Nothobranchius furzeri: one gene and its partners. The protein of the gene in region 4 interacts with the protein of the main gene of each other region in a pairwise test. Links are inferred from orthologs where the notes say so. Each region holds a gene or a part of one and is shown on either strand. Other genes may lie near its edges. The genes, in order: cullin-5, pias2, ilf2 and ccndbp1.

The links.
Region 1: the proteins of ccndbp1 (region 4) and cullin-5 interact in binary tests that used the Homo sapiens proteins (3 or more experiments, as listed by UniProt). The two-hybrid records come from large-scale screens. The link is inferred for Nothobranchius furzeri from reciprocal best matches to the Homo sapiens genes CCNDBP1 and CUL5.
Region 2: the proteins of ccndbp1 (region 4) and pias2 interact in binary tests that used the Homo sapiens proteins (3 or more experiments, as listed by UniProt). The two-hybrid records come from large-scale screens. The link is inferred for Nothobranchius furzeri from reciprocal best matches to the Homo sapiens genes CCNDBP1 and PIAS2.
Region 3: the proteins of ccndbp1 (region 4) and ilf2 interact in a two-hybrid assay, tested with the Homo sapiens proteins (2 studies listed by BioGRID and IntAct). The two-hybrid records come from large-scale screens. The link is inferred for Nothobranchius furzeri from reciprocal best matches to the Homo sapiens genes CCNDBP1 and ILF2.

The regions. Positions count from the first base shown.
Region 1 is NC_091750.1:27,990,978-27,995,719, reverse strand, and holds part of cullin-5, read left to right. Parts: intron 1-646; coding exon 647-777; intron 778-865; coding exon 866-973; intron 974-1,045; coding exon 1,046-1,110; intron 1,111-1,196; coding exon 1,197-1,329; intron 1,330-4,393; coding exon 4,394-4,525; intron 4,526-4,710; coding exon 4,711-4,742. UniProt on the Homo sapiens protein: Core component of multiple cullin-5-RING E3 ubiquitin-protein ligase complexes (ECS complexes, also named CRL5 complexes), which mediate the ubiquitination and subsequent proteasomal degradation of target proteins.
Region 2 is NC_091757.1:20,891,893-20,897,308, forward strand, and holds the start of pias2 (E3 SUMO-protein ligase PIAS2), read left to right. Parts: upstream 1-2,258; 5' UTR 2,259-2,351; intron 2,352-5,416. UniProt on the Homo sapiens protein: Functions as an E3-type small ubiquitin-like modifier (SUMO) ligase, stabilizing the interaction between UBE2I and the substrate, and as a SUMO-tethering factor.
Region 3 is NC_091751.1:23,257,911-23,263,449, forward strand, and holds the start of ilf2 (interleukin enhancer-binding factor 2 homolog), read right to left. Parts: upstream 3,190-5,539; 5' UTR 3,037-3,189; coding exon 3,032-3,036; intron 2,719-3,031; coding exon 2,659-2,718; intron 2,032-2,658; coding exon 1,989-2,031; intron 1,862-1,988; coding exon 1,757-1,861; intron 1,669-1,756; coding exon 1,591-1,668; intron 1,351-1,590; coding exon 1,248-1,350; intron 855-1,247; coding exon 789-854; intron 554-788; coding exon 437-553; intron 1-436. UniProt on the Homo sapiens protein: Chromatin-interacting protein that forms a stable heterodimer with interleukin enhancer-binding factor 3/ILF3 and plays a role in several biological processes including transcription, innate immunity or cell growth.
Region 4 is NC_091743.1:73,300,321-73,305,062, forward strand, and holds part of ccndbp1 (cyclin-D1-binding protein 1 homolog), read right to left. Parts: intron 4,383-4,742; coding exon 4,303-4,382; intron 3,862-4,302; coding exon 3,780-3,861; intron 3,497-3,779; coding exon 3,400-3,496; intron 469-3,399; coding exon 395-468; intron 1-394. UniProt on the Homo sapiens protein: May negatively regulate cell cycle progression. May act at least in part via inhibition of the cyclin-D1/CDK4 complex, thereby preventing phosphorylation of RB1 and blocking E2F-dependent transcription.

The DNA of each region.
Region 1 (4,742 bases), on a different chromosome or scaffold from region 4:
AGAGTGTGATGTCATAAATACGTGTGATGTCGTAAATACGTGTGATGTCATAAATACGTGTGATGTCATAAATATGTGTGATGTCATAAATACATTTGATGGTATAAATACATGTGATGTCATAAATATGTGTGATGTCATAAATACGCATGATGTCATAAATACGTGTGGTGTCATAAATACGTGTGATGTCACAAATATGTGTGATGTCATAAATACGCGTGATGTCATAAATACATGTGATGTCATAAATACGTGTGATGTCATAAATACGTGATTCTCCACTTGCTCATTGTTCACGCTGAAAAACACCACACTGCTCTCAAAAGATGCAGAAAGCAAAATTGACTCTTTGTGGAATCGTAAATCTGCATTTGTCTTATTGTGAAATTTACCGGATGCTTCAAACCGGTGCTGTTTTTGATTTCCTGTTTAGCCAGCGGACCTTGATGCATTCTGGAAGCAAGGTACGTCAGAAATCGAGCTCACGCGTATCGTTGGCGACGCGTCTGAAACACGGAGCGACCGGTTAACTAAACCGTAGACTATAACATCTTCTATCGACCACAGAGCCACTCAAGCTCCAGGTGTAAACGGATAATCCAGTCATGTTGATATCATTCATCCTTCTGTCCACTCATCACAGAGCTGCACCTGATGTTCTCCCTGATGGACAAAGTTCCCAGTGGCATCGAGCCCATGCTGAAGGATCTGGAGGATCACATAATGAGCGCCGGCCTGGCTGACATGGTGGCTTCAGCGGAGACCATCACCTCGGTGAGAATCTCACTCACGTTTAAGCTGTTCCCGCTGTCTTTGTTCGCCGGACTGGTCAGAAGGATTATTTATCTGGTCTCTGTTGCAGGATTCAGAGAAATACGTGGAGCAGCTGCTGACCTTGTTTAACCGCTTCAGTCGACTGGTCAAAGAGGCCTTTCAGGACGACCCTCGCTTCCTGACAGCTAGAGACAAAGTCAGTTAGATTTAGTCATTTTCATCTCCTCACCGTGTAAAACTTGCTGACCGACGCTGATTCTTTTCACAGGCGTATAAAGCTGTCGTGAACGATGCCACAATATTTAAACTAGAGCTTCCGATGAAGCAGAAAGCGTAAGAAATCACCTTTAGATGTAGTTTTAGTCGTAAATGATCGACGTCTGCGTGTTCATGTTTGCACACTTTGGTTTTTTTTACAGGGTAGGAATGAAAACTCAGCCGGAGTCGAAGTGTCCAGAGCTGCTGGCCAACTACTGCGACATGCTTCTGAGGAAGACTCCGCTGAGTAAGAAGCTCACCTCTGAGGAGATTGAAGCTAAGCTCAAGGAAGTGGTACGTTTTAGGACCTGTTTGCATGTTTTGGGCACTAATCGTTCCCATCCCCGGGGCTCCTGCAGTGTCCTGAAAACTATTTGTTTTTTATGTTTTCAGGGTCTGGTTAGTTGTGAAAAAGAGGAACATTCGTGTCTCCAGACTTCTGCGCTGCTGTTTCTTTTGCAGCTTGAATAAAAATACAGTTTAGCTAAAATTAATAAGTGTGAGCTGCAGTACCAAGAACTACAATCTTCTAGCAAATATTCTTGGATATTTATCATTTTCTAACGAGAAGTCAAATTGATCAAAATGTCTTTAGGCGTCTCTGAAGGAATTTCAAAGTTACCCATTAAATATTTGCTGCCTTGTCGCTTATTAACTCACCGGTTTACCAGAGATGCAGCATGTTTTTGTGCGGAAAAATAAATATTAGGACGGCATTAGAAGCAGGGATGTGTATTTTTGAAATTCTGGCGATACGATACATATCACGATACAGGGGAGACGATACGATATATCACGATATATTGCGATACATTCATTCAGACGTTACAAGCAATTTTTTTTACTGAATTTATTGTAAGAATGTTCAATAAACAGTCCAAACTGATACGTAACATGTTTAACATGAGGTATCTGAACCATGATGGAGGGATTTACATTTCAGTGGTGGAAACAAAACCCGTTGCACACTGCTGCCAACTAGCGGGTGGCGATTGAATTGCACAAAACGAAAAGAAAATACACAAAAGTTTGCATGTAAATTCTTTCAAGAATTAGATACACGGCTTTTGAATATCGATGTAATAATTGCAGGAAAAAATATGACGATATATTGTCATATCGATATTTCCGATACACGGCTTTTGAATATCGATATAATATTGCTAGAAAAAAATCACGATATATTGACATATCGATATTTCCGATACACGGCTTTTGAATATCGATATAATATTGCTAGAAAAAATATCACGCTATATTGCCATATCGATATTTTCTTACATCCCTAATTAGAAGTAAGTAAATTGATAGCATTTAAAGTTGAAAAATGAATCTGCTTTCCCATATTTTGAAATTTTGTCTTGGTTCAAAAATATGAAATTGAAGAACAGGCTTGATGTTCTTATTTAACGGGTCATCTTTACGAGCTCAGGTGTTGTGTTGATACAGTTATGCCCGTCAGACCGCGTGCTCCTGCGTCAAGAGCGTGCACCAAGCAGTCCGCACGGATCCGGTCGACTGCGCCACGTCTCTAATTATAAGTGAAAATATGTTGGTGAAAAAATGAAAGATGAGCGTTGTTACTTTATTGTTCACTTTGTGGGTGAAAACAAAAAAAGTCATATTTCTATTTCTCACCTGATTATTTTAACAAGCCAAGAACATTTCTTTAAAGACCAAGTTCACTTGTTTTTTCAACACATCTGCGGTGGTCTCTAGTATGAGCTAATGCCTTGTGAGCCCATCTCTGTTGGAATAAAGCTCTGGCGCTCCTGCCTCAGGAAGTAGACGTTAGCAAAAAGGGGGAGGGGAGCAGAGCAGGTGACGGTGGGATTTGGAGTCGTATTTCCTGGTATTTGGACACCTCTCCTCTGATTGGATAACAGCAATGTGACTTTGCTACGGACTCAGTTTTCTCTGCAACGTTGATGTATTATCTCCACAAATAACACAAACCTGAAGGAGCTCTGCTGTGTGGTGGAGTTGCTAATGCTAACGGTTAGCATCTTCTAGCTGAGACGTTCTCTACGGTTTCCTGGACGCTGAACCAACAAGAGCCTTTCCCATCTGTCAAGATGGGTGGGTCCATGAATGCCAATTTGACATTATAACACGCTAATGTCGCTGACTTTTATAACCCACGCATTTCAGGATCTGTTTTCTATCAGAAGCTCATGCAGAAAATAGGGTAGAAGACTATTTTCACATTCAGCCTGCATGTTAAACCCAGAGTGACCGATCGTATTTAAAAAATAACAAATTAAAAAGATGTTTCTCAGTGAACTTGGCCTTTAACAAGAGCCTCATCACTTCTGTGAACATAAGTAGACGGCTCAGTGTTCGTTTCCAGATGTTGAGACAAAAATAACTTTGGTGATGAGATCAGAACAAAAGTGTTTTAATAGGTCGTCTGGTTTTCGGTTTTAGACAACAAAACAACGTCTGCTTTCAGCACTTACTCTTTCATTAAATCAGTCCATAAAAGCGTGTATAATCATATTAGTCTGTCATCAAAATCCAAACATTTCTTTTTCTTTTCATTTTTCCTCCTAAAATTGAAATTTCATATACTGAAAATCAGGCCCTGTCCACACGTAGCCGGGGATCTGCCAAAACGTAGATATTTTCCTACGTTTTGGCCTGTCGTCCACACGAAAACGGAGTTTTTTCACAAGAAAACGGATCTTTTAAAAAACTCCGGCCAAAGTGAAGATCTGCGTTTTCTCCGTTTTGGGTGTCTGCGTGTGGACGGACAAAACCGGAGTTTTAAGGTTCGCAACGTCTTTTTCCGCGACAAAAAATGCTGACATCACGTGTGCGACCTGTGTTTACACTAGCCGACATCATGGATGCCCTCAGAGCTGCGCTCGCTTTATCAATTGTCCAAGCGCTTTCTGCTTGTTTGTTTTTGAAAGCGGAATTACTGCTCCTTGCGGAAGACCACAGACGAAGGACGAGGTTAAGAACGGGGGAAGTACTGCCCCCTACAGGTCTGGCATGTCCTTAACAACGTATTTATCCGGGTACGTGTGGACAGAGTTTGTTTTTAAACGAGGTGGTGTGGATGCAAGTTTTTGGAGGGGCGGATATTTGTTTTTTAAAAACCCCGGCTACGTGTGGACTAGGTCTGAGTTGAGCCATATTGGTACCGGTCCATGTGAAACTGTCCTTCGGTGCACTTTTCCATTTTCTGTTTTTGATCCGAGACTAAAACAGAAAATGTGGACAACAAGATCAGATTTAGAAAAAGACTGTCGTTTTTTTCCTTTTTCCTTTATTTTAGTTTTGGTTTTAAGTTGAAAATGAACGAATGAGCGACACACAGACTCAATCTAATCAACCGTTTGACTTTGTCTAGCTTTTAGTGCTGAAGTACGTCCAGAACAAAGACGTGTTCATGCGATACCACAAAGCCCACCTGACCCGCCGCCTCATCCTGGACATCTCAGCAGACAGCGAGATCGAGGAGAACATGGTGGAGTGGCTCAGGGTACGCATGTGTGGGAAGCCTGTCGTGTTTTTATTTCACTCTGATAAACAAACCGGGATGTGCATTAAAATATCACCTCCTCTATAGTCCTCGTGTCATCATCCTGATTGTTTGATCTGTAGAAACATTTCTTAGAAGCCGATCTTTAATTCTGCAGAAAACATTGTTTTAATGTCTCCGTACAGGAAGTAGGCATGCCGGCTGACTACGTGAACAA
Region 2 (5,416 bases), on a different chromosome or scaffold from region 4:
GTGTTGCTAAATCTACTGAACATGGTGGATGGAGTGCAGGAACCGAGATCCGTGGCAGAACGTTTCTGGTTGGCAAGTGGAACATCAGACAGGGTGGTCTGCAGAGGGTGCTTCTGGATGTGTCATCTCACTGTCCACTGCATCGTCCATCAAAAGGGTTTGCTGGGCTGGCTCAATCGACGGCTGTCACATCACTAACATTCAGATATATGCAAAAAAGGAGATCATGAGTATAAAACTTGTAACTCTAGCAGATAACAGGACTAAATGATTTTTAAACTTTAAATACAAAGGGCGGTGACGTTTATTGAGCCGTCGCAGCTCCTCAAAAACCACAAATAAAATGAAATATTGCTGTGGATCCATTTTCAACGTTGCTACTAGCTTGTTAGCCTGTTTGCCGCCATCACGGTAGCTAGGCAACTTGACCTGGGGGCGGGAATAAAAACGAGGCTAGTACTGTCCAAATTCAGAGCCGCTGACTTCCGGTTTTAGCGGTCTTGCAAGGACCCGGCCTTGCTAGACTGGCGAGGACCCGTACTCACAAGCATCCTTCCTCTGGATTCGGACACAGCCAGTGACTTGTTCAAAAGATCAGTGGGTTTGCCTCCATCTAGTGTCAAACCCAATAACTACACCTTCAGTTAAAATGGTTCTCACAAGTTTGGTTGTATAGAGCTCCGGACCCCACGTGACTCTCAGTGAGTAGACGCCATTTTGGCAGGTAAAAAAAGGTAAACAAACACATGAACATGAACAGGATCGGCTTGGATTTTACTTCGTTGGAGTTTACTTCACACTTTAAAACCGAAGAAATCGTTTTACACAGTCAGAAATTAAATAGACTAAACATCTCTGACCCTTACCGTGTCCCTGGGATACTTTTTAAAAACGCCAGAAGCTGTCGGAGCGGACTTCTTACTGGACCTGGCCGGGGAACCCCTTGGGATTCCCCCGGAGGAGCTGGCTTTGGCGGCTGGGGGAGAGGGAAGTCAGGGCCTCTCGACGCTACTGTCCCCGCAACCCGACTCTGGATAAGCGGATGAAAATGGATGGATGGATGGACAAATAACAGATTTACACGTAAGTAGTTTAAATAGAGTGCTGTGCTGTTTGAATGTATAAACTGAACGCCAAGAGAAATCACTAGTTTGATTTTTTTTTCCGTGAATAAAATAAATATGTCAGGCAGGAACGTCTCAGGATCTGTCTGAGAGCTGTCTCGGTGACACAGATAATTGCAATCCAAAGTGTTTTTGATGTGTGATCTGACACTTGATCAACCATTGCTTAAAAATTAAATACAGCTTAGCCGGTTAATTGCTGTGATCATAAAACACGGAAACGGCAGCACGCAGAAATCACGAGGCAACGTTTTACGTGATGTTTACTTGTTGCTATGAGTAATAAGACAGAAAAAGCCACGCCAAAATAAGTTTAGGAAGCCCGCTAAGAATCGTAATAAAAGCATTTAAAAATAAATACCACACACAGTTGAGGAAACGTTAGTTTAAGTACCTGATATGAAGCGGTCGCTGCATAAGTGAAATCCTTTACTCTCGGGGTCCCACAGCTCCATTTTAGCCCGGTCACCAGTGCATTTTATTACAATGATCCAACGTTTGCGGCGTTCCGGATCTTGGGGAATCCTGTAGAAGGATCTTCCCTTGACTTGTCCCCGTCTGTTCTGGCATCCTGGGGCACAACAGGAATCGACCATATTTCCCGTGTGAGATTTATAACATAGTCTAGCTGCCGGCTTCTGCCTGCCAAAATGGTGCCGTTTCGATTTGAACTGTTGCATGCTGGGAGAAGTGACGTCAACTCCCGGAGCTCTATAGAAAAAACAAACACATTCAATTCATTGTTAACAGTTTGATAATTTTTGGGAAATTCTTTATTCACAAATGCAGTTTTATGAAAGTGAAGCCAAGCCTGTCATTTTTCCAAAAATGATTTTATTACTTTTTGCAAATCCCTTAAAAAGGTAAATAATATACAGGCTGTTGAACTTGTCAGTGTTGTTGAAGATCTTTTGAACTAAAGTCCTCTGTCTGTTACTTTACCTTATACTTTATCATTTATAAATCTTGTTATTTCTGCAGCTTAGACATTTTTCCAATTGTATTTGATAAAAGCTGTTCGTTGCCTACTGAGTTTTATTGTTTGTTATTAAAGTGTAATGTGATTGATGTTCAATTAAAAACAAGTTTCCACTTCCTGTTTCTGGTTCCGGTCTTTCAATGCACTTGGCGGCGATAACGTTCTGTTAGGGCGGGTCAAAGACAACCTCCGAGAGTCACGAAGAAGAAATGAGGCATATCAAGATGGCGGACTACCGAGAGTTACAGGTAAGTGAAAACATTCACATTAATTCTGACAAATTTCAGTCAACGAAGCGCTTGCTGTTTCCCTTTAAACGGAGCGTCTCCTGTGTGAAGCCCCTTATCTCTGGTTGAGACACTCAAAACTAAACACGGGTTTAGTTTCGACTCGGATATTTGGTGCTTTTTGGTTAGCTCTTATGCTAACAGATGTGTTGTATGTGTTTGTGAGCCGCTGAAAACCTCCCGCTAGAGTGTACTTGTAGCTACCGTATTACATACACGTTGTTGAATACAACCAGGGTTAGGAACAGCTGGTTATGCGGTGTTTGGACGGAGTACTTGTTCTGCTAGTTAGATTATGATTACACATAACCGTGACCTTTCGAGTCAGTGTAACCAGTCCAGGAGAACACTAACCCTGCTTTCCAGGGCCACTATCCTGCATGTTTTGTGTCTCTTCTCCAACACGTTAGGTTGTAGTCTATGGGCTTGTGCAGCGCGTGATGAACTGCTGAACAGGTGATTCCACCACAGAGAAATAGCGAGAAGATGCTGGGTTGGGTTATAGAAGCTATTTATGACAGCTTACAGTCATGAAGTAGAATAACAAAAATAATAAGGCATTTTATTTAAGCTCACTGTACAGAAGACGGTGTCGGTACAGGATCTGCTCGGGTGCAAGATCGGCTCGGGGTCCGTCGACTGCCGATGACGTCAAAGTAGTTGATTGGCTGAACATGAACCTCACGGAATTACGTAATCACGTTACGTTGTTATCACGTTACGTTGGTCCAGGCAAATCTTTCTATTGGAAAGATGGACAACTTTTACAAAGAAATCCATCATTACCTCTTTGAAAATACACTTTTAGCATAGAGCTGCATGCATATTAGGGCTGAACGATTAACTGCATGTGCAATTAAATTGCGATGTGACAAAAGGAGGGGGGGGTTGAGTTCAGATGGTGCTTGCACAGGTGCATGCAGCGAGCTGCTCGTCCTCTTTACGCAGTGGAACCTTGGATTTTATTGGCTTTTTATGTATTTTTGTTGTGTCTAATGCTTTTTTGAATGGTGTGGCTTCTCTGGTGACTTATGATCGAACTGCGCTGCTGAGGCTTCGTCCTGTTGATGTAGCGGGCGCTGCACGCTGGGAACCTCACGGATGGTGTTGTTGTTTGGACTGCCCGTGTGCTCTCCCCCCCCAAGCCGAGATGTGTCGGCCCTCTGTCCGCCCCAGCTCGAGAAGAAAGCATCGTAGAAGACGGGAAAGCGAGGTAGCCGGCGCATGTTACCCGACATGGGCAACAAACAAAGGAAAACAACAACAGAAAGAAAAGAACAACCAAAGCAAAGAACCAGAAACCCAGAAAGACAAGAACCAAAACCAGTGATAACCTTACCATGCATCAAAGGCATAACAGAAAAAATAAGAGCAACAATGAAAAAACACAACATAAACACACCAACAAAACCATACACAACAGTTAAAAACAGACTAGTACACCCAAAAGACAAGATACTAGCTGGACTTAAATGTGGAGTCGTTTACGAAATCCCATGCAAACTCTGCAATAAAACATACGTAGGAGAAACCGGACACCAACTCAACACACGAACAATAGAACATATAAAGGAGTGCGAGAAAGAGGCAAATCGAAAACACACAAGAGCAGCAAAAGAAGAAGCAGAAAGCACAATAAAGAAGTCAGCCGTAACAGATCACTGCACAAGAGAAGAGCATATAATGGACTGGGACAACACAAGGATCATAAAAGAAGCTATCGAGATAAGGAGACGTGGATGTGGGACCATGAACAGAGACGATGGTGTTTACTCGTTGGATCGCGCATGGGACTGCATCGTCGGAGAGGGGAGATCGGGCAGCAGAGGGCGACAACGTCCTCTGCTGCCCGAGGATAAACGGAGTAGGAAGTGACGCCACCATCAGCGTAGGGCTGGGCGATATGACGATTTTAGACTGTTTTACGATCTATACATCTGACGGTCTGTCATTTTTGAGAGACCATTTTATCACGATTCTGCTGTTGAATTTCTGCCTCTGAATGAAAAGGGAACTTACCCCAGGCGAATGACACGCCTTTGTTTGACCCTTAACCAATCAGAATGAGTCATAGTAATATATTAGTGCCCCGCTTGTTTTCACCTGTGTGTGAGCAAACATGGCTTCGGCTGCGGCTGAGAGCGACAACGAGGTTTTCGTTCCGAAGAGGAACACCTTTTCTATAGTACCGACCGAGCACCGATTAACGTCATTTCAAACGGTGCCTCGTTTCGGTACCCGTCCTTCATAACGAGAACTTGCCAAGAAAGCTGCGCATACGCAAGAGCGTTATGTCGTCGGTCCCTGCGAGCGAGTTGTAATCAGAGCAGCATGGTAGAAAGAAGAACGCACGCTAACGCTTGGGTCCACTTCACTAAATGTGACGGGTAACTGGGTGATGAAACCAGCGACAGACAACGATCTAAGTGAGTCATCATCTTAATCTGCTCTGGTAGGTAAATAAAATGTTTAAGATAACGTTACCTTGATATGTTAGCTTCCGTTTTGCTAATGGTGCGTTCGCTTTCTCCTCGGAACTCCGAATTTCCGACTAGATGAACATGAACGCGCTCTAAAGTTTGGCTTCACTTTACTAAACGTGACCGGTGATTGGGTGAAGATGAAACCAGCGACAACGATCTAAGTGTGAGGCATCATCGTTTTAATCTGCTCCAGCAGTTAAATAAACTGTTAAAGATAACGTTAGCTTAATATGTTAGCTTCCATTGCCACCGTTGTTATCAGCTAATGGTGCGTTCACTTTCTCCTCGGAAATTCTAACTTCCCAGTAGGAAAAATCAAATGAAAAAGGACGGCAAAAGGAATGAAGATACACAGTAAATTTAGTTCACAGTAGGGATGGGTACCTTTGACATTTGAATCGATCCGGTACTAATTCCCGGTACCTACGAGTCGATACCGGTACTTAACGGTACCAATTTTCGATACTTTTGAGTGTTTATTATTTTAATTCTCTTTTATAATTAAATATATATTTTTCTCAATATATAACCATATTTGGTAAA
Region 3 (5,539 bases), on a different chromosome or scaffold from region 4:
ACATCATCACGGTGCTGAAGACGCTGCCGTCTCATCCACCCAGGTTTCTGGTGCATGAGGCATTAGCTAATAGCTACGCTGCGTTTTAGCATCGGTTCTGGTCCACCACAGCTCGTTAACTCCTCTCACAGCCTAACGACGGTGACCTGAAATGACCTGTTTAAAACTTTACTAGTCACATCATTACAATAATATTGCTGCAGCCAAACAATCTGAGAAATATGGCCAACAACGATTCTGTCATCCCACACACACACGGTCCAGAGGCTACCCAAACACCGTCTTACACACTCACACCACTTGTACAGATTAGAGATCAAAGGTTCAGTGGAAAGAACCGTTTAAAACGGAGAAGTCCTTAAAAAACGAGTGTCTGTGTGTGTGCATGTGTGTGTGTGTGTGTATGCATGTGTGGGTGTGTGTGTGTGTATCATACGGTGCAGCTCTGGATCCAGCTTGCGTAGGTTGGGCGGGACAGTGGTGATGAGGATCTTAACGGTTGCATCAGCTGAGCTGATCTCAAAGCCCGTCTCATTGGTCAGCATGGAGAGAACTGAAAGCGCGGGTGCACACACACACACACACACACACACACACACACACACACACACACACACACACACACACACACACACACACACACACACCATTAGTGTTTATTACATCATTAACTCACTAAAGATGCTCACTCTGTTTCTTGAGGGCACTCTGACCAACTTCAGCCTTTAGGTAAGGTCCAGAGCTGCAGATACACCCCCCCACACACACACACAGACCCACCCCCGTACCTTCTGCGGGGTCCTGGGTGCGAAGAGTCTCCACCACCTTGTTCCCGAGCGCAGCCACTGCCTCCACTGTTAGATTAAACATGAAGAGCAGAGTCAGCTTTAGCTCCAGGTGTTTAACACTGGACTCAGTATTAATCACCACTCTACCGACGGTATTCGGGGTTTAAATGACACCAAGTTGCCTCATAAACACATTTAGGATTCAGACACTTCTGTTCTCGAGTTCCTGTACGGTCTGACGAGTTTCGTCATCACTGTTAAGCTTAAAGAGGCTAAAGCTAAACAGCTTAGCTGCTGGATAGCCGGTCCGGTCGGGCTGCATGATGGGACTAGCCATGTATTTACCAACACGAGTCCAGATGTGCTCAGTGGTTTCACCAGAACATCTGTTGAAGCTGTTCCAGCAGGATGAGGCCCTAGTGACGGACCCAGGGCTGGTCTGAATGAACAATGACTCACGTGTAGGGAGGATCTTGAGGATGACAACGAGGTCAGCGACGTTGTGTCCAGTTGTCATGGTTCCCTTCTTGTATGAACCCACCTGACGAACTTCTTCTATTTGCTGTGGACAGATAACGTAAGCATGCGGGATGGCTTTGATGCGTTCTAAAAGATAAAACCGCTCAGCTACATAAAGCTCAGCCTGTGGGAGGTCTAGGAAGGTCATGACGGAAGAGAAACATTTAATCCCAGATTAGGACGTGACAGCAAACACAGATCATTACAGCCTTACTGACACCAACTCATTTACACCAGTTTCAGTAAACATGGCAGCTCTACAGGTCAGATGTTCACCACTCACCACTTCAAAGCTACCAGGGGCAACAATCAGGTTGTCGATGACATTATTGATCTTTGTGACCAAAGACAAGATGGAAGACTAGAAGCAGAAGGAAATGAAGACGTCAGGTAAGTAACCTACAGCACGATGAGACCAGTGAGGTGTTGAACTGGAATACCTAGCTGACCTGTTCTGCAGGTGAGGGGCTCAGGTCCTGGTTCCTCTTCAGCAGACACTCGCTAAACGCCGTCTCATCAGGAGCAGGTTTCACTCTGGGGAAGGCCATCTCACACTGGGGAAGGACAACAGTCTGCTTCAGAACCACAAAATGGACCGGATTCTACCAGATGCTAGTTGTAGCCATGGTTACTGATTATTCCTGCATGCTGTTCTGTTGTCTGTCACATGCGTGAACTCACCACATAGAAGTCAAATGGGATGTGCGGGACAAAAGGACGGTACCTGAGCGGGACAGAGAGAAGAACGGAGAATCGGTGGACTGGCACAAATGTCCCTACTAGTCAGAACCAGAACGTCTGACCGGGACCTTATGAAAGCTGATGTTCAAACCCAAAAAGTAGATTTTAACAATGATTTGGAGGTTTCAGTTATAACCAAGGCAGCGGTTCTTTTTGCTTCAGCACAATAACCAACAATCCGTCTTAGCTTCATCACCAGGACCACGCACAACATGAGCTGATGATTCCAGACTTTACAGCAGCTTTTTAAGGATCCAGAAATCAATGGATTGTTTCATTTGGGAAAAAATGAAGTTTAAAGAGACAGAAACAGGACGCTGCTTTCAGACAGGATGGAAAGATCTAACTGCTCTGAAGAAGTCCTTCTGGAGATGTTCTGGGGAGAGTGCCGTCGTCCTGTGTAATCACAAGAGGCTTCTTTTTCCACTTCTGAAGATCTTTCTCACTTAGACTTTTCTACTCTGATGGCTTATGGGTCCGAGTTCCATCCAGAAGCAGGAATCGAACCAGCAAACTTAAGACTAACTGTCAGATACTTTCTACAACCAGATCAAGGACCTGACTGAAAGAACCAGTATGGAACAGGAACAGAGATCAGTAAGGTACTCACCCCTGGACCATGCCTCCCCGGGCTCCGAAGCGGAGTCCTCGGCCCCTGCCGCGGTCTCCTCTGTTCACAAACACAAAACCCAGATCAGTCCAGTGCGCTCGCTACTGCCAGACTAAAGGATAAATAAAAACGCTGATCTTAGCTAACACACGTGTGTTATAGTCCTAATTCGCTACCTCAGTGTTAACTTGCTGTCGATAAAACGTAAGAGTTATCAGTAACACTGTTATTGGAGGAATAAATAAGTAACACCACGTTCAGAACGAGACTTTAACAGAAAGCTATACCGAGCTAATGGCTAACAGCTAATGACACTGATTACAGGCTAGTTAGCGTAAAGCCAACACAACCAGGTCCGGTTAGTCAGCGTTACCTCATTGCGTACGACGTTTTGATGGTTTGATGAGAGAAAACAGGGAGAACGGTTTGATATGGTTTAATGAATGAGCGGAGGCTAACTGCGGAAGGGACTAGTGTGGCACAAAGAGACTTCTGTTTCCGGCGGAATTGTTTCTTTCTTTCTGTTTTACGTCACCAACGCCGTGGTACATTACCGCCCCCAACTGGAATGGAGTGTGGACCGCATAGATATCACATATTATAGCTAGATGCGCTGTTTTTTTTATTTATTGGTATATTTTTTTGCTGCTGCCATAGCGTAACTTTATTCATTCACGTCTTTCTGGTCAAGTCTCTTTTTTAACTTTATTTCAATCTTCGTTTTCACATACATTCAGTTTACAATGTAACCTACATTCAACGTACTGAAGAATATAACAAATACAAATGACCGCACTTGAGGAAAATAAAAATGACATTTAGAACTTGCAACATTTACCGCATGGCACTACCATAAAATAAATTATGATGCAAAATAATAATAATTAAAACAAAAAATAAAATAACATCAACAACAAACAAAAAACGTTCAGAGGTTGATATTTCAGCATTATAGTTCAAACATGTTTGATTCATTGGACTGTAATTTAAAGAACAAGAAACTCAGACATTGTTTCGCACAACTCAGTTATAGATTGGTTATTTTCTGAAAATACTCTTTGAGATGTTGTAAATTGTTTTATTTAATTTTTAAAATGATTAATGTTAGGCTTGCTGTTTTTCCATTTAGTCTTATGTATTTGGTAATGTTCACCATTTTGGATATCTTTTTTGGAAGAGCATCCATGTATATCAGTACTTTAGATTACATCATTTCTCTCAATATTTACCAATCGATAAACATCCTCCTCAAAACCAAGTGTTACTGAACACGAGAAGAAAAAGGTGCTCAATAGTTTCACATTCTGTCATACAAAAGATGCACTGATTCTCACCTGCGCTGTTCGTCAATGGACCCTGACGTCCGTACGCGGCAGCCATCTTACTTCGGACAGCTGCTCTCCTCTAGCACTGTTGTTTAGTGGTGCATGAGGGGGAATTCAAGATGGCAGAGTGAGCAGGTGCTGGAAACTTGGCAGGTCTGATAAAACGGTGGGTTTTAAATGTTCTGAGAAGTAATTCTCTGATAAACAGTTATTCAGAACGAAATTGAAAGGAAATCGGTACCTGTGGAACATGTTTTTGAAGAGTTATTGGACAGATAAAGTAGCAAACACAAAAAATCAAATGACTAACATGGCGGCGCTAATAGGTAGTCTTTCCGACCATGACTACAACCTTGCGGCAATGAAGGAAGCATGTGCGGACGAAGACATTGAGGAGATGGAGCATCAACAGATAGCAGCAAGACCCACTGGTGATCACACTCCAATAAAAAGCCCCAATCAAAAAAAAAAACCTGAAAAATAAAGCTACTGGCAAACAGATATGCAATGAAAACATCTATGAAGCCCTGCTGGCCTTTCCAGAAAGATTTGATCTGCTAGACAAAAATCTGAAAGCTTTTGACCTTAGGATAGAGGCAAATGGCAACTGAAGAAAACAAAAAGGAAACAGACAAGCTCAAAACAAGGATGGAGGCTTTAACGAAGGAAAACAAAGAACTGAAGGAAAGATGTCTGGAAAACTCAAGATACCGAAGAAGATGGGACCTCAGACTACTTGGCCTGGCAGAAAAAGAGGGTGAAAATACACGGGATAGAGTGATTGGCATCCTGACGAGAGTGATTCCTGTGTCAGTGGAAAAGCTGCAGCTCATGGTGGATACAGTACATCGAATCGGGAAGAAGGGCGACGCTGCAAACAACAAGCTGCCAAGACCGATCATCGTTCAGTTTAGCATGAGGGCAGCAAGGGATGAAGTGTGGAGGAAATCCAGGGAGGCCAGGGTTTGCAAAGAACTGCACATAAACGTTAAAGAGGACTTCTCCAAAGAGGATAAGGAAGCTCGGATCAAGCTGTGGCCCAAGGAGCTGGAGGCTCAAAACAACGGCAGAAGAGCATTCCTGAAAGACGGGTTTGCTATAACAGATGGCAAAAGAATTGACCCATAATATGCATGCAGAAATAATAAAAGTGGAATGGCATAGGTAAATCTGGAGGTAGATAAAAAGTTCTGGTTCCTAATAAAAAAAAAGGGGGGGGGGTCACAATGACAATCTGAATACTGTATTTACAAGATAAGTAGGACTTCATGCTTACTCCTGCTAGAAACAGTTCATTTTTCTAGAGAATAAGAGTAGAAGGGAAAAGTTTAATTTGTTCTTGCGTTGTGTCTTCTTGATCTTTTTTTTTTACCTTTAATTGTCTGTTCAAATAAGCTCTTTAAATGTTCGAGGCTTAAAAAACAAAGTGAAACGCAAGGCCATTTCTTTATTTTGCAAAGAAATTAAGGCAAACATTTTGTTTTTGCAAGAGACACATTCTAGTAGTGATGATGAAACTTTCTGGAAACATCAATGGGGAGATGGTTTTCTTTTTT
Region 4 (4,742 bases):
TGAAAGATAAACTAGAAGGAATTTAATTAAATATGGCCGTGTCATAAAATATTCTGGATATTACAATTTTATTATATTACAGTTTGTGGAGCTGGTTACTATGAAAAGTTAGTTTTAAAACCAAACAAAAACTGACCTAAAGAAGTCACCACTGATCCGAACAATGGAGCTTATTTAAATAAAAAGCAGTTTGGCCTTTGTGTTATGAACACTGATCATATTAAAGCAGAAAAATGACTTTTTTCTAGTAGAATTCTCTTAAATGTGTGATTAAAATGAAGGAGACCAGAATTTGATTCAAACAAGAAAAGCTTACTGTCTGCTGCCAGAAACAAATAAATAAAACAGTGTTGAGCAGGGACAGCCTTTTACTGCCCCTGTGAAATCAGCTCACCTCGTGGTAACTGGGCAAACAGGTCACAGGCAGTCCAAACTCCTCCTGTTGATGTGAGCTGTTCCTGGGTCAGACTGGATGACAGCAGAGGAGGAGGAAGAGGCATGAAACAAACCGGTGAAATGCACAAAGATGGAGATTAAGACTATAGAAGGAAAAAACTATTTTTGTTTTGTTGAAAGTTAAATTAGTTCGTTCTTATTACCTGAGAGCTTCCAACAACTTCTTTGTTTGCATCTGTTTTTTAATCTTGAGGAGTCTGAATAGAACTTTTTCAACTAGACCGCCCAGTGCCAGATTATTTTTGTTTGATTCAATTCAAATCAATTCAGTGTATTTGTGTAGTGCCAAGAGTCGTCTCGTTGTCTAGTGAAGGCACTTCACTAAGTAAACATTCCAATTGAACCTACTTATCAGTTCAGTTCATTATTGGCCTTGCCTGCCAGACTGTCTACACAGAGAACTGGTCTGGTTACTCACAGCAGAGAGGCCCATGAGGGACAAGACAAGCCAGCTAAAGAATAACCAATCAGAAAAGGGGAGGAAATGCCAAAATTTAATGTGCAACGCTGTTGTTTTTTAGCTGTAGTAAAAAAATGGTGTCTGGCGATGACGCAAACATCTTTCTTTAGAAGAAAGGCTTTTAACACGTCTACTTGTTGCGGTTTTAAAAACGTGTTCAAGTCATTTAGAACTGAGGAAAGAGCCGCAGCGAACTCTGCTTCAGACGGCGTCTTCGTTGTTTATAAGAAACTCAGCATGGTGGTGTGTGACACACGCTGTTCAGCGCTTATTGGCTCAGTTAGAATTCTCAGGGGATGATTTGAATAGGAGAGTTCCCAGCCCCATGCTTCCAGCCCAAGCCCCCACAATGCGGGTGAAAAATTGAAGCAACTCCGGAAATGAAATAAATTGCAGTTCCACCCTCATCCACTGGGGGCTGGTGTCAGAAGCGAGCAAATCCTCATTGACTCCCATGTTAAAAATACCAATTTCACAGCAGAAATAAGTGTACTAAAAGCCTAAAATTCTGTATAATTAATGAGCATCAGACTCAGGTGACCGCAGAGCTAGCTCCGGGGAAAGGCCTCAGTCTGAGCCTCGGTCTGGCCTGGATTAGTTGTAGCGTTTGTGCATTCTTTTTGGATATTATTTGTGCAATTGTTGGACAAAATGACTTGCTGTGGCATTAATTGCACTAATAGAGCATCCAAGGAGTTACCACTTCATTTTTTTCGGTAAGTAAAATTATATTTATGTATTTTAGGTCACTGCTGAGCTGAGCTTAGATTTTAACATGTACTGATTAACCATGAAATTTAAATGTAATAGGGTAAAACCCAGTGCATTTAACATAATGCTGCACTTTAGAAAATGGGTTGAAATATAACATGTTGGTGGAGCTGGGTTCCGACTATCAGCTTGTGGAGCTCTTGGGAGACCTCTGTTTTCCACCCAGTTCTTCCCTCCCCGCAGCTCGGCGCATCTCTGTCTGATCGCGGCTTCTGTCTGCTGCGCGGGCTGCTGGCTTGTGGAGCTCTGGGATGGAAACCTTTCCACCCGGTTCTCCCCAGCGGCAGCTCTGCGCATCGCAGATCGCAGCGGCGCTTGTCTGCTGTGCGGCTGCCGGCTTGTGGAGCTCTCGGAGACCTCTGTGTTCCACCCGGTTTTACCCAGCGGTTAGCCCGGCGTATCTCTGACTCAGAAGCTCTGGTGTTGTGCACAGTTAACTCCGGTTGTAGCTAGGTTGCTACCTCCGTTAGCTTAGCTCCCACCTCCGCGTTAGCTGTAGGTTAGCTTGTAGCTAGTTCGACCGGGTGTCGTCAGTTGATCCCAGCCTTACAGCCACACCCTCAGCTCCACCTCTCTTCCCTTTTGTGGAATTGTCTGGGCTTGACAGAACCTGTGACACGGTCAAAATGGCGGTGGTGACCACCTCCCATTTATCTTCAAAAATGTGTTATTGGAGCCTATGGAAACCCAATGTCCAATATTTATATGTCGATGCATTGAACTTGATTAAAAATGACTTCTTTCTAAACTTGTGAACAGCTGGATGACATCCTGGACCTGTGGCTTCAGCTTCAATCTCATCCAGGAGATTTTCACAACATCGTCTTCTAGACGTGTTCGACTGTCAAAGGACTCAACATTTACTGTGAGCTCGTAAAACATGTTTCACACCCTGATGCAAGGTACACACACACACACACACACACACACACACACACACACACACACACAAACACAAGCCACACTTCACCACTTCCCACAAACACACATGAAAATTCACGTGTTTCCCCTGTAAAAATCACTCCCCAATTTACTATCATCTTGTGGTTCACCAAGTTTCCACCTTTTATACAGATCAGTTATTTCCTATCACTGCCATAACGCTTTGGGTTAACAATTGTCTTAATTCCATGCATGAAACGATAAGCTGTGTTTGGTACTTTTTGTCATGTCTCAACTGCTGTTTGTAATAAATTCACAAAACTTAAATCATGCCTGATCATTGTCTAGCGATCTCGAGAATAGTCGACGCATTCTGACAAGAATTCAGCTTTCAGATTAATTTTTGATGTTAACTTTGAGGCCGATTACATTGAGAAGATATAGATATTAAATCCAATGGTACAGTTTCACAAAACTGGTGGTGCCCCGATTAATTAATATAAGATTATAAACAACTAAACAAGCTAAATCTACACCACATTTGAAATATAGATATAAATCTATTTTTATCACTACACTGAGAATGAATAATGTTTAGTTCTGATGAGTCTGTTGTCCTTTTAGTTTGGTTTTGTATCGTTTTTATTTTGCTTGATCTTCTTAGCCTTTTGTGGGATTAAGGCGAAAGGATTTAAATATTTGTTATAGCCATTTATTTCTGCATTTTGGTCTCTAACATTTTTTTCTACACTCTGTGGTAGATATTTCAATTCTTAAGCCCTCCACAGTGAAATCAATAAATGGTTTTAACCGAGTTCTGTAGCGTTTACCTGTGTAGCGGTAAGCTGAGTATGACCTCCAGCAGTTGTGTAACTCCCTCCAGAACCCCAACAGTGGCTTCTCTGACCTGTCGACGTAGAGTCACACCTGAGACACCGGGAGACACACAACCCAAACAACACATCAAACTTCATTTAGACAGCAGACAAACATTTAGGTCAGTTTTAAATGAATTCATCTCAACCAGCAGGCAAGCTCTTATGTGTTTTTGTGCAAGAAAAGCAGAGCAGATGGTTATCCACATATAGAAAAGGGTAACTATTGCTTAGGCTACTTAGACATGTTTATGAAAATTGATTTTCTAATTTGAAAACAAAGCCATAGTCAACTATTAAAACCCAGAAATGATCATGTAGTTAATGAGTGTTACCATAGCTCTTGGGCAGCCAGTAATACACGGTGGACAGAGTCAGGAGGCTCTTCAGGATAGACTCTGATAACTTCTCAGCATCCTGCAGTACAACAAAGTTTACATGACAGCCTGAATCATGAAGGACTGAGAAACGATAGGAAGATAAACATATACGACTGAAAAGTTTGAAAGAACATCTAGCTCAGGTTTTAAACATTTTAATAAACAGATTGTGAATAGGAAATCGCTGAGTGGCACATGTCAGCATAAATGTGCAGTTTCCGGGTCTGCAGCCTTGTACCATTGAGGAATTCTTATGGGTGGAGACAGGACTTCATCAAATCCAAATGCCCTTTTACTGGGTTGAAGGGATGGCTTAAAAAATAAAATTCTATTTCAGAAATGATGACAACTTAATCGTGCCAATGGTAACATTTTATCATATACTGTGCCGACAGTTGTTCTGGAAGGTGTAAAATAACATGATACAGTCCCTTTACGTTTTGTGTGAATAATAACTTATAACAACAAACAAACTAACCTGTAAAGAGGGGAGCGGAGGTCTGGAGAAGGCTAGGCTGAGTTTAGTGGCTTCCTGGGACACTGCCTTTACTGCTTGGTCTGATTACAAACAACAGTTAGATAGATTAAATTTTTGATTATATAGTATAGATGACAGTGTCCTAATGTCAGAAATAATAGTAAGTCAGATAGAGCTGATGAGCAAAAGAGACTTGCCTTAATAGGTAACGTTCACATTATGTACTCAACAGTGCAAGATCGTTGATACAAAAAAAAACATGAAAAATCTTTTGTAAAAAAAATTGAAAACCTTAATATTGACAAATGAGATAATTGCTTTGTGCTACAGAAAATGGCCTAAGACACATATGTCAGACACAAGGCCCACGGGCCAGATGTGGCCCGCGGAGCATTTTTATGTGGCCCGTGAGATAAATATCAAAGATGTATTAAAACTGA